Linked DNA regions of Sus scrofa. The protein of the gene in region 2 purifies or fractionates together with the protein of the main gene of each other region. This does not show direct contact. Links are inferred from orthologs where the notes say so. Each region holds a gene or a part of one and is shown on either strand. Other genes may lie near its edges.

Region 1 (3,643 bases), on a different chromosome or scaffold from region 2:
GTTTCTTCCACCAGGGTCTCCTTCCTGGCTGGGGCTGCACCTACCGGAGGAGCACAGGTGGCCTGCTGGAGTCCCAGGTACCCCTGCCAGCTGGGCATGGAGAGCCCTTCGGGGGGTCCCGGGACAGCCTGGGCCCTGTGCGCAGCTTCATCTGCTCCCACTGCTCCTTCCCAGGTTAACTGCGACTCACAGCATTTCAGGTGAGGCAGCTGAATGCCAAAGCTTCGAATTCCCAGGGGAGGCGTGGCCCTGGGACCTGAGGGGTCAGTGACAGGAGCCTGAAGCCCAAAGGTGTCTGGCATCTCGTGGAGGCCCAGGCTGGCCACCGGACGAGTGGAGATGCAGAGCGAGGCCTGAGCCTCAGGCTGCACCAGGACCCTTACCCGGCCCGGGGGCCCCCGGGGCCACCCGGGGCCCCGCAGCGTCGTCCTCGCTCCCCGAAGAGCTGCTGCTGCTGCCGTCCTCGCTGTCCTCTGAGGTCCCAGAGGCCTTGGCCTTGGGGCGTTTTGAGGGAGGGGCTGCAGGAACCCCAGGCTTTCTGAGCTCGTTGGCCCCTCTGGTCTGTGCAGGGGCGCTCTGGGGACGTGTCGTGGGGAGTGTCCCCAGACCGTCGGTCTAGTTTGGAGAGAGAGCGGAAGGAACAATCAGGGGGCAGGATCGGGGCCTGCTAAGCAGCTCAGTCAAGGGCAGGCACCGTGTGACCTGCTCTGCACATGGGCCTCATTGAACCCCCGTGGCTGAGACGGGCGGCAGAAGCCGAGCAGGCGGGTGCGGGCACTAGGGCCCCCGGGCAGCTAGGTGCTGGTGCCAGGTCCCCCTGTGGTCTCGGACCACTGTGCCCTCCGCGCTGGGCCTGCCCACCCCCGCTGCCCAGCTCACCGCACACGAGGACGGGGTCCTGGCGGCAGCAGGGCGGCCCTCACTGGCTTTCTGGGCGAGGACCTTCAGGGCGGCCTGGGTCAGCGGGAGGTCAGCTGGGCTCCTCTTGGTCACCTGTCGGGGCCGAAGGCAGCCTGAGACTCCCAGGTCCTCCAGATGCCACCCAGGCCACCCGGGGCCAGTTCCTGCCCAGCAGGGGGAGGGCCCCAGAGCTGCAGGAGGAAATGTGGGACTGAGGGCACGGAGCACTGCCGCCACCTGGGCAGAAAGCGGGGCCGCGAGCTCCTCTCGCTCTCGGGCCCCAGGTCCCAAGGCCTGATCGGAGCCTTCACCGGGGAGGCCCTGGGCCTCCAGCCTGGCGGCTGCGACAGCCAGTCTCCTGCTTCCCACAGCCGCCAGTAGCCAAGGAGAGAAGTGGCCGCGGGGCCTCGCTGAGACCTGGGGGCTCAGCCCCGGCCGCTCCACCCTCCCCCGACTCCTGCACCCCAAGCACCTCCTCCGAGGTCCCCGCACCGGGTCCACCTGCCTGCCGTGCCCCCCGCGTGCCCAGGGAGGCTGGCCCAGGCTTTCTAAAGCAGGTCATCTCACTGTCCCCGCTGGTGAGGGCTTCCACTCTGGGTGTCCTCGTGTAATGGCTGCTGCCTCGACCTGAGAGGTCCCCGAGCACAGGGACCCACCTGCGGCCGCCGCACCCCGTGCCCGTGGGGACAGACGCTCAGCACCCCGGCCGGCTGAACGGCCAAGCGGAGGCAGGCCGTGGGGTGCAGGGAGCACAGCCTAGCCCCGCTCAGCACCCGCGCCCCCAGGAAGCGCCTGTGGGCCGAGGCCTCCGTGCAGAGGTGCCCTCTCTGAGGCGCCTTCTCGGAACGGGGCAGGGCGATGGGCCAGGACAACAGCAAGCCGCTGCCGCCCCGGAGCAGGGCTGGGAGCCAGGGCCCCGCTGCCGCCGCTGCCTGACCCTGGCCCTGGGTCCAGCCTCTCGCTGAGGGAGAGGCCCAGGCTCCGCGTTTGAGCGACGAGCCGTCAGCTCCTCGCTGCCAGGCTTCTGGGTGCCAGCAGGACCACGGCAGGAAGGACGACCCGAAGCAGGGAAGCCTGGGGCGCACGACCGGAGCAACCTTAGCGCGCCCGGAGAACAGCCCGGCTCAACGCCGGGGGGAGACCCAACCAAGAGCTTGCTGTTGGCAACGCTGCCAGGGCCCCTCGCCCGCCAGGTACCTGGGTGGCTGGCGCCTCCGGTTTCCTGCCTTCTGCCGCCTGCCCGGGCTCCTTGCCACTGCTGGCCCTGGGGGCCGTCCTCGGGGGCACCGGGGGCGCGGTCGCCGAGCTGGTTCTGAGGGCTGAGAAGGAGCGGGATGGGGCACGTCAGGCACAGAAGCCTGGCACGGCGCCCGCCCCCACGCCAGGGGGAAGACACGGCACCAGCCGCAGCCACGGGCAGAGGCCCCGTCCCAAGGGCCCGGCACAGCCCCGGCCTCCTGCCCCACGGCTCCGGCTCGACACAGCGCGGGAGCCGCACCCAAGCAGCCGCTCTGGAGCCCGGAGGGACCCGGCTGTCAGCGTGAGGCGGCACCTCGTGGGGTGAAGGTGACTGCGCACCTGTACGGTATGGTCTCACTGCAGGGGCAGGGAGGGCTCACGGGTGTGACTCAGCAGCAGCGACTCTGGACACTGGGAGGACAGTCGCGCTGTTTCTTTCAGGCTCATCCGCATTTTTTTTGTCTTTTTAGGGCCACACCCTCAGCATATGGGGGTTCCTGGGCTAGGGGTCCAATTGGAGCGACAGCCGCCAGCCTACCCCACAGCCACAGCCACAGCCATGTCCGATCCGAGCCATGTCTGCGACCTACCCCACAGCTCACAGCAACACCGGATCCTTAACCCACAGAGCGAGGCCAGGGATCGAACCCGCATCCTCACGGATACTGGTTAAATTCGCTTCCCGCTGCGCCACAACGGGTGCACCTAATATGTATTTCCTAATGAGCCTACCCAGACCAGGTATGAACAGCCTCATTAAAAGGTGTGCTACTACCAGTAACAGCAATTAACTGTTTTCCTGCTGTCACGGTGAGACCACGGGTTGTCAGAAGTCAGATATCCCAGATCTGGCCCCGTGTCCAGGCTCTTCCCTGCATGTCTCTCTTTAGGGGCCACCTCACCCCCGTACATGCCGCCAGGAGCAGGAGGCTCACTCCCTCACAGGCCTTGCCCCGCTCAGGCGTCGGAGGTCACAAGGCTCGTCCCTCCGACCATGGAGACGCCTGGTCCCTCGGCCTCCAGCCTCAGGCCCGGGTCCTGGCCTTTGGAGCCAGCCCCCCATCAAGAGGAACCAAGCCTGGGCCCAGACCTGGCCCCCAGCGCCCCAGACCAGCAACTGGCTGGGACCCGGCCAGCGTCCCACGTGGCATCTTCTGGCTCCTGGGCCCCAGGGGTGGGTGTGGGGGGCGTGCATCTGGCAGTGGCAGCAGGGGGTCGGCCCTGCGGGGCCCGAGCTCACCGGGGGCTGAGCACTGCGTGGCAGGGACCACGTCCTCGTCCTCACTCTCAGAGGAGCTCCCAGCCGTGCTCTCTGAGGCCTGGACCTTCCTTCCGGCGCTTGTAGCCTGGGCTTGGGCGAGGGTAGCAGCTGGGCCAGCTGGACTACGGTTAGGGTCGACAAAAATCAGAGGGGTTTTAATCACCTTGAAAAACAAAAACAGAACACAGCCCGCGGTGATTAACGGCTTGGCCGGGGGAAGGCAAGGGTGGGCAGGGGAGGGTT
Region 2 (3,743 bases):
ATCTAATGAGGGAGCATATAGGAGGGGAGCCTCTCAAGTCTCAGGGGTGGGCGTACAATTCGGTGCTGCCTCCAGGAAGTTCAGCCTTCAATATGCAAACAGAGCCAAGGGCCAACCTACCCCTTCCAGGCACCTGGGGTCTCTATCTTTGAGCCCTTGGAGGAAAATTCACTGAGGATCCTGCTTCCCTATGGGTAGCGAAGGGGAAATGCCGGAAAGGCCCCAGAGTAAAGGGTTGCTATGGAGATGGAAGTTTTAAATAAAGAGGAGGGGAGGGGATGATGTTGCTCAAACCCCTTCTCCAAGAATTTCCTTTGACCTAATTCCTTCCCCAAGGGTTCTGTGACCCTGGTCCCCATCAAGGAAGGGGAGGTAGGGAACTGAGAGACTTCAGAAAAGAGAGGGGCAGGGACACAGAGAGACAAAGGCAGAACCTGCTGTGGAAGGGGAGTAAAGAGGCGACAGAGTAAAAAGGACGCAGGCACAAGGACACAGGAGGGGAAGTGGGTAGGAGGGTTTGCAGAGGCCTATGGGTGCCCAGCAGAGCCCTAAAACCTCCATGACCATGTGCTCTGAACACCTGGGCCAGGAGCTGTCCCTGGTGCCTGGACCTTTGAGCTGGAACCCTCCCATATTCCCCTAGACATGCACTGAACTTGGTGTGGGACCGCTGTAACCTGGGGAAGAGGCCAGCTGTGGCGGTCCCCCTCGGTCAGAACAGTTCCTCAGCCCCTCTACCTGTCATCTGGGCAGCTTAGGTAAAGCAGGGCCAACATGTCGAAGGCACAAGCATGGGGGATGGAAATGAAGCTCAGAGACCTGGCTGCTTCCCTTTACAGCCCCTCCTCTCAGCTGACCCAGCTCTGCCTAGGCTCCCCAGCCACCCCCACCCCCATCAGCTGTCCTCTAGAGGCCTTAGGTCCCCAGGGCGTCTCTTGCAGCTCAGCCTAATTCCCTGCCACTGCCGTCCCCCTCCCTGACAGTGGAGTGTGTCTGAGGGCTAGAAACAGCACCCTGAACAACCCAGAAACAGGATAACAACTGCACAGCATCCCTCCCACCCCCCACGCCACCTCAGTTTCCCTGGATGGAGATCACTGACTCTGTGGCCTCTCCCAGGGCAGGGACTGACCACCTGCTGGTGAGTGAGTGGTGGCCAGGATGAGGGCTGGAGAGGAGAGCCAGCAGCTGATATGGGAAAGGCAGCCTATGGCATGTGGGGGCCCACCCCAAACGCTGAAAAGAAAGGGAGAGATCTCTGCTGCACCCCAGGGCCCACCATGACACTGAGAGGGATGAAACCACCAGTTTCGCAGGTGAGGAAACCAGGGCCCAGCAGGTGCGTAATACTGGCAGGAATCAACTGAGGGTGGGGAAGGGCACCAGGTCTTTGCAGGCAGTCCTGGGGGGGCTCAAAGCCTAGGCCTTGGAGGAGGGTAGCAGGTCAGGGGCTGGACTGCTGCAGACTGAGCTTTTGGTAAGGGACAGAGAGCCCTGTTTTCCAGGTGGGAACCTGGTGGAGCAGGCTGTGCCTAGGGTGCGCGGACAAAAGCAGTTTGGCAGAGCTATGGGGGGCTGGGAGAACCTAGGGTCTCTTCTGCCAGACACTACGGACTGGGGAAGACAGAAACTCACTCCTTCATTGTTCACCCTGCTCGCCGGGGGAGGGGGGGGGCTGCTCCCCATTGTGCTGCCACCCTGACCCCCTTCCCCAGTGCTGCTGACTCGCCCCCGCTGGCACAGCAACACACATGCGGGAGGCACACGTGTGAGCACCAAGCCCCGCACCTCCCAGCAGAAACATGTGCGTCCTCCACCCCCACCGCGCAGGGCTGAGGCTGTTCCCTGGACCCCCAGCGGGCCCGGTGCTAAGGCTTTGAAGCTGGATCTCGGCTAGGGGGCTGCAGGTCTCCAGGGGCTTGAGCCTCCACCCCCATCCCGCGGCAGCCCCGCCCAGCCCCCTTCAGGTTGTCGCCCATAAAGAACTCTCCGTTGTCATGGAAATTAGTGACTGCTTAGCGGGAGGGAGGGGGCCCCGGGGGCAGTTGGGAGGGGCTGGAGGCGGCTCTGGGAGTCCAGTGGAACGCCGAGCCCTTGGCCTCTACCCCCATGGGGCACCACGAATGTCGGAGGGTTAATGTTCTCAGAATTAAGAGCTCAGCGAGACGGGGGTGGGATGGGGAACAAGGAGGGGAGATTGGCCTGGACTGAGTCTCAGAGGCTTCCCCTGGGACCCCCGAGCCGTTCGAGGTGATGGGGAACTTTAACCCAACCCCTCACACCGGCCCCTGGATCTGCAGAACCCGCGTGCTCTGCCCCCGCCGGGACCCCAAGCCCTAGCAGCGTCCCCGCGCACTAAGCTACACGAACCTTCGGCCAGAGACCCAATCCCCTAAGATACCACAACGTGCATTCGCCGGGCGCCCCCCTCCTCCCCGACCCTGCTCACCCCGCACCTGCAGCGCTGGTGGGTCAGAGGGAGGAAGCGATCTCGAGTTCAGTGCGGCGCTGAGGGCTCCGGGGGCGACGGGTAGAATCCGCTCGGGCACGCGGGGCAGACGCGGCGCCAGCTGCAGCCACTTCGGCTCGCGAACCTCCAGCATCTCCCGCCGCTCGCCAGCACCGGATTCGCACCCCGGCCCGGGGGCGGGCTAGGGGCGGGGCCTCCATCAGTCGGCTCCGCCCCGACCGTGGAGAAGACTGAGGCAGGAATGAATCCCACTAGAAGGCGGGTTGAGGAGGAGTAGCAGCGGCCAGGCACTCAAAGGCTACCTTGGACTCTGGGACTGAGCAGGCAACAAGGGCCAGAGGGGCCTTCCTATGCCCACTGTAGAGGGTGCGGAGTAGAAAGTATTGGGGAGGGCCTGAGTCCTGGAACCGCCCAGGAGTGTCTTGCGGATAGTAGTCCCCAGGGGACCGGCACTCTGCCCAGCAACCAAAAGCTGACCCAAAGAGGAGAACCCACGTAGAAGAACTAAGTGGGCGGTTGCTAGGACAAGCTCAGTTACAGACTGGCCTGCCCTTAGCTTGTTAACACACAAGCATGTCTGTGTGCAAAATGAGGGTTCCAGACCTTGGTGGCAGAGTCTCCTACCCATCCCACCCTCCTCTCCTACAAAGTCAAGGCCTTTCCCAGGCTGGCCCTGTCTGCTCCCTCCTGTGTGGCACCAAACTTCTCAAGCTTTAAAAGTTATCTACGACATGGTGCACTCTATTTTCTTCCCAGTTTTATCACCCTCAGACACTTCATGAGCAGCATCACCATTAGTGGCCTGGGCTGGGATATGAGGATACAGGAGAACTATAACACCAAGGTGCCCCACCAAACCTGGCATCTGATTGGAGGGAGGCTCAGAATTGCCGGGAAGGGGCTCTGAAGGAAGTCCTTGCCATTTCTCTGTCCCTTGTCAGGGATACGCACAGACCCTTGCCTCACCCCACTCACAAGCCTTGAAGCCAGTATCTGAAAGCCATGCTTACATTCCTCTGTGCCTGGAGTTGGGCTGCACCCCATCTGAAACTTCTCAGTGAGCCTGATGACCCTATCCTGTGTGGTTCATCTCCATGGCCCTGTTGAGGGAGTCTCCCCTGCATGGCTCCCCATAGCTGTTGACAGCAGTGACTGCCCAAGTGATGAAGTGGGGCTGGGACTGGGGCTGGAATTCTAGCCTGGGAAATGACTACTCAAACAGGATCACTCAATATCTTTCTCCAGATGAGGTGTTAAGGAACCCTTCCCTGGC
Region 3 (3,643 bases), on a different chromosome or scaffold from region 2:
GTTCTGACCACTACTTTCCCCTTTACGTTAGGGGGTCTGGATCCTCTAAAGGGGCCCCAACCTTGCAAAGTGAGGCTAACCTCAAGGCAGGCTTGGGTCAGCCTGGTCCTTCTTCCTAGGAATCGACTCAAAGGAAGAGGGGGAAAGGAGTTCCCAGGGGGTGCAGCAGGTCAAGGACCTGGCTTTGTCACTGCTGTGCGGAGCGCTGGATCCCTGGCCTGGGAACTTCCACATGCCATGAGCATGCCCGCCCCCCATTTTTTTTTTTTATTTTAAAAAAGGAAGGGGGAGGGGGAGGCTGGTTAATATAAAGAAACCACTTCCACTTTCAAACACTCGCAAAGGCCTTTCTCTTTGGCCTGAGCATGCACACACGCACACAGACTTGCAAACCACACAGCAGCGCCTTTCTGCCTATTCAGCTCAGGATAAATGCGAGGAATTGTTGAAGGCAGGCAGACCAGTTCGGGGAACTACAATGTAATTAACTTTGAGCGTGATTAACGGTGCACTGTTTAGGGACCTCACGTGAGCATCTTCGTGATGAGCAATGGCAGCGGAGGCTGGCGGAAGCTCAGGGATCAGACGATGCCTTTAACTACAAGCATCACCTCCCCACTTGGTCCCAACCACCCCTCGTATGTCCCAACAACTTTTTGTACTTTATGACGAAAATATCGGGAGGGGAAGGACTGAACAAAAATGTGCTGTAAAGAATTGTTTCCTGATGCCTTGTGGCTGGGAGATGAGAGCGAGAACACACAAAAGGGTAATAATGACTGCAACCAGTCGACTACTATTTAAACCGCCCAATTCTAACATGAAACATCTGATGAGCACCTAATGTTTACAACACACAATTCTTTTTTTTTCTTTTTGCCTTTTCAAGGGCCGCTCCCTCGGCATATGGAGGTTCCCAGGCTAGGGGTCCAATCGGAGCTCTAGCCACCGGCCTACACCAGAGCCACAGCAACGCGGGATCCGAGCCGCGTCTGCAACCTACACCACAGCTCACGGCAACGTCGGATCCTTTAACCCACTGAGCAAGGGCAGGGACCGAACCCGCAACCTCATGGTTCCTAGTCGGATTCGTCAACCACTGCGCCACGACGGGAACTCCAACACACAATTCTTTAGAATCTTTATCTTCGCTCTGGTCAAGGATTCCACCTCTAATTAGGGTAACCATGAATCCTGGGCTGCCCAAGACAGTCCTGGTTGCTTATGAAAAATACCAAATATTCTGTGATCATCTCTATGGGAAAGGAATCTGGAAAAGAATATGCGTGTATGGATACCTGAATCACTTTGTTGTACAGCAGAAATGATCACATTATAAATTAACTGCGCTTCAAAAAAACTTGAAAGAATGAAAAAAAAAATTAACCATGGAAGCAATTGGAAAAAGAAGAGAATTAGGACATGTTTGTCTTCATTTTACTAAAACTGGAAAACATTAAATAAAAGACTTAGGTATTTATCCATAAAAAAAAAAGTCCGTGGCACATATTGTCTGGATAGGATTGTTATTAGGCATCTCCTGGTGTGGACAATAAATTATACGGTTATCCTAACTTTAAATGAACTCTTGGATATGTAATCAGACTGACTGATTATTTTAGTGTTTGGATCACTGTCCAGTTTGCATTTTAACTACTCCTCCAGTCCTTAAGGAACAACCAAACAGGAGTTCCCTGGTGGTGCAGCAGGTTAAGGATCTGGTGCTGTCACTGCTGTGGCACAGGTTTGATCTCTGGCCTGGGCACTTCCACATGTCATGGGCTTGGCCAAATGAAAAAACAATACAAACCCCCAAAACCCCAAAACCAAATGGACCAAAAATTTGCCTCTTCCTTTGAGGGCCTAATGATAAAAGCACTAAGATCAGTCTTGCAAAGATAACTTTGCTCCAGAATATTCCATTTCTTCAGTGGTATTCAGTCACAGGATAGAGGGGGAAAGGCCTTCAAGAAGCTTTTAAGTTCCATCTTTCTGGGGGGTGAAGGAGCCAAAGATCCATTCCCCCCTTGAAATCCTGCTCAAGACTTTGCCACCTAAAACTGAGGAAAGCAAAGCTTCCCTAGTGCGGTCAGGCGATAAAGGCACAGAGGCAGAGTCTCACCCGCCTCTCAAGGAGGCCCCGAAGGTACCTCCTGAGCTGGCTCCGTCTGAAATACACTGGTCTAATCCAACTCCTTCCCGTACAAATGCAGGAAAATGTGGTTATTTCTTCTGTTCTTTCCCACATATTATAATTTCATTCTCTCTCCCGCTAATTCTATAAATAAGGCCAGAAGTCAAGAGCAGGTGGCCCACATTAATTGTCACAGGAAGTTGTGTCTTCTCAAGGGCTCTGAGTACATACACCTTGTAACAAGGAAACACAGAATAACGGGTGTTAAATTCTTTTCTAAACTCTAACTAGATGGCTCAAATGTAGTCACTCAAAACAACCAAATGGGGAGCCTATCCTGTATGTTTCTTTCTCTGGAGCTGAAAAGAATACAGAGGTATTAAACCCATTTATTTATTGATTTTTGTCTTTTTAGGGCCGCCCCCAAGGCCAACGGAGGTCCCCGGGCTAGGGGTCCAATTGGAGCTACAGCTGCCGGCCTATGCCACAGCCACAGCCACGCAGGATCCGAGCCACATCTGTGACCTACACCACAGCTCCTGGCAACGCCAGATCCTTAACCCACCGAGCGAGGCTAGGGATCGAACCCGTGTCCTCATGGATGCTAGTCAGATTTGTTTCCACTGAACCATGACAGGAGCTGCTTAAACCCATTTTAAAAATTAAGGTTCCAACGTACTTTGAAGAATAGCTACCAAGGAACGCACAGAAAAGAATGATGATGCACGAAGATGTTCATCCTCGTGTTGTTTATGACGATACACAGTCCACGTTCCAGGACCAAGCGTAGGAGAGAAAGCACAGCACAGAAGAGAAAGATGACGGCTGCGGCTGAGCCGATGGAATTCTAGGGATTTACTTTCCCACACCTCCCAAACTTTCTTTTTTCTTTTTCTTTTTTTTTTTTTTTTTTGTCTTTTTGCCATTTCTTGGGCCGCTCCCACGGCATACGGAGGTTCCTAGGTTAGGGGTCGAATCGGAGCTGTAGTCACCGGCCTACGCCAGAGCCACAGCAATGCGGGGATCCGAGCCGCGTCTGCGACCTACCCCACAGCTCACGGCCACGCCGGATCCTGAACCCACTGAGCGAGGCCCGGGATCGAACCCGCACCCTCATGGTTCCTAGACGGATTCGTGAACCACTGTGCCACGACGGGGACCTCCCCAAACGTTCTTTTTGCAAATGAAACGCAGCAAAACCCCCGGAAGGCCCAACGGCACTTACCACGGAGACTTTGCTCACTACATCTCTTGCGACGGCTAAGCCCTGAGCAAAGGTCCGGGCTGCTACAAACGCACGAGTGACCTGGAGCTTCAGTTTTCGAGGGACATCTCCAAAGGGCTTCAGCTGCTCCGTGTACTTGCTCACGCATTCCAGATACTCGTCGGTGAAGTGGTACTGGGAGTTCACCAGGCGGAACATGCGCTCCAGGAGGCGGGCCCAGAAGTCCTGGAGCATCTCCTCCAGGTTGACGTTGCCCGCCACGTAGTAGCGCTTCAACTCCTCGA

What was found.
Region 1: the proteins of CAMKV (region 2) and TCOF1 purify together in Homo sapiens (affinity purification with mass spectrometry; 3 studies listed by BioGRID and IntAct, counting the BioPlex papers as one, with this or other methods). This does not show direct contact. The link is inferred for Sus scrofa from reciprocal best matches to the Homo sapiens genes CAMKV and TCOF1.
Region 3: the proteins of CAMKV (region 2) and GPC4 purify together in Homo sapiens (affinity purification with mass spectrometry; 3 studies listed by BioGRID and IntAct, counting the BioPlex papers as one, with this or other methods). This does not show direct contact. The link is inferred for Sus scrofa from reciprocal best matches to the Homo sapiens genes CAMKV and GPC4.

The regions. Positions count from the first base shown.
Region 1 is NC_010444.4:151,392,209-151,395,851, reverse strand, and holds part of TCOF1 (treacle protein), read right to left. Parts: intron 3,564-3,643; coding exon 3,380-3,563; intron 2,220-3,379; coding exon 2,098-2,219; intron 994-2,097; coding exon 880-993; intron 616-879; coding exon 384-615; intron 41-383; coding exon 1-40.
Region 2 is NC_010455.5:32,390,337-32,394,079, forward strand, and holds the start of CAMKV (caM kinase-like vesicle-associated protein), read right to left. Parts: upstream 2,644-3,743; 5' UTR 2,604-2,643; coding exon 2,450-2,603; intron 1-2,449. UniProt on the Homo sapiens protein: Does not appear to have detectable kinase activity.
Region 3 is NC_010461.5:109,327,847-109,331,489, forward strand, and holds part of GPC4 (glypican-4), read right to left. Parts: coding exon 3,360-3,643; intron 1-3,359. UniProt on the Homo sapiens protein: Cell surface proteoglycan that bears heparan sulfate. May be involved in the development of kidney tubules and of the central nervous system.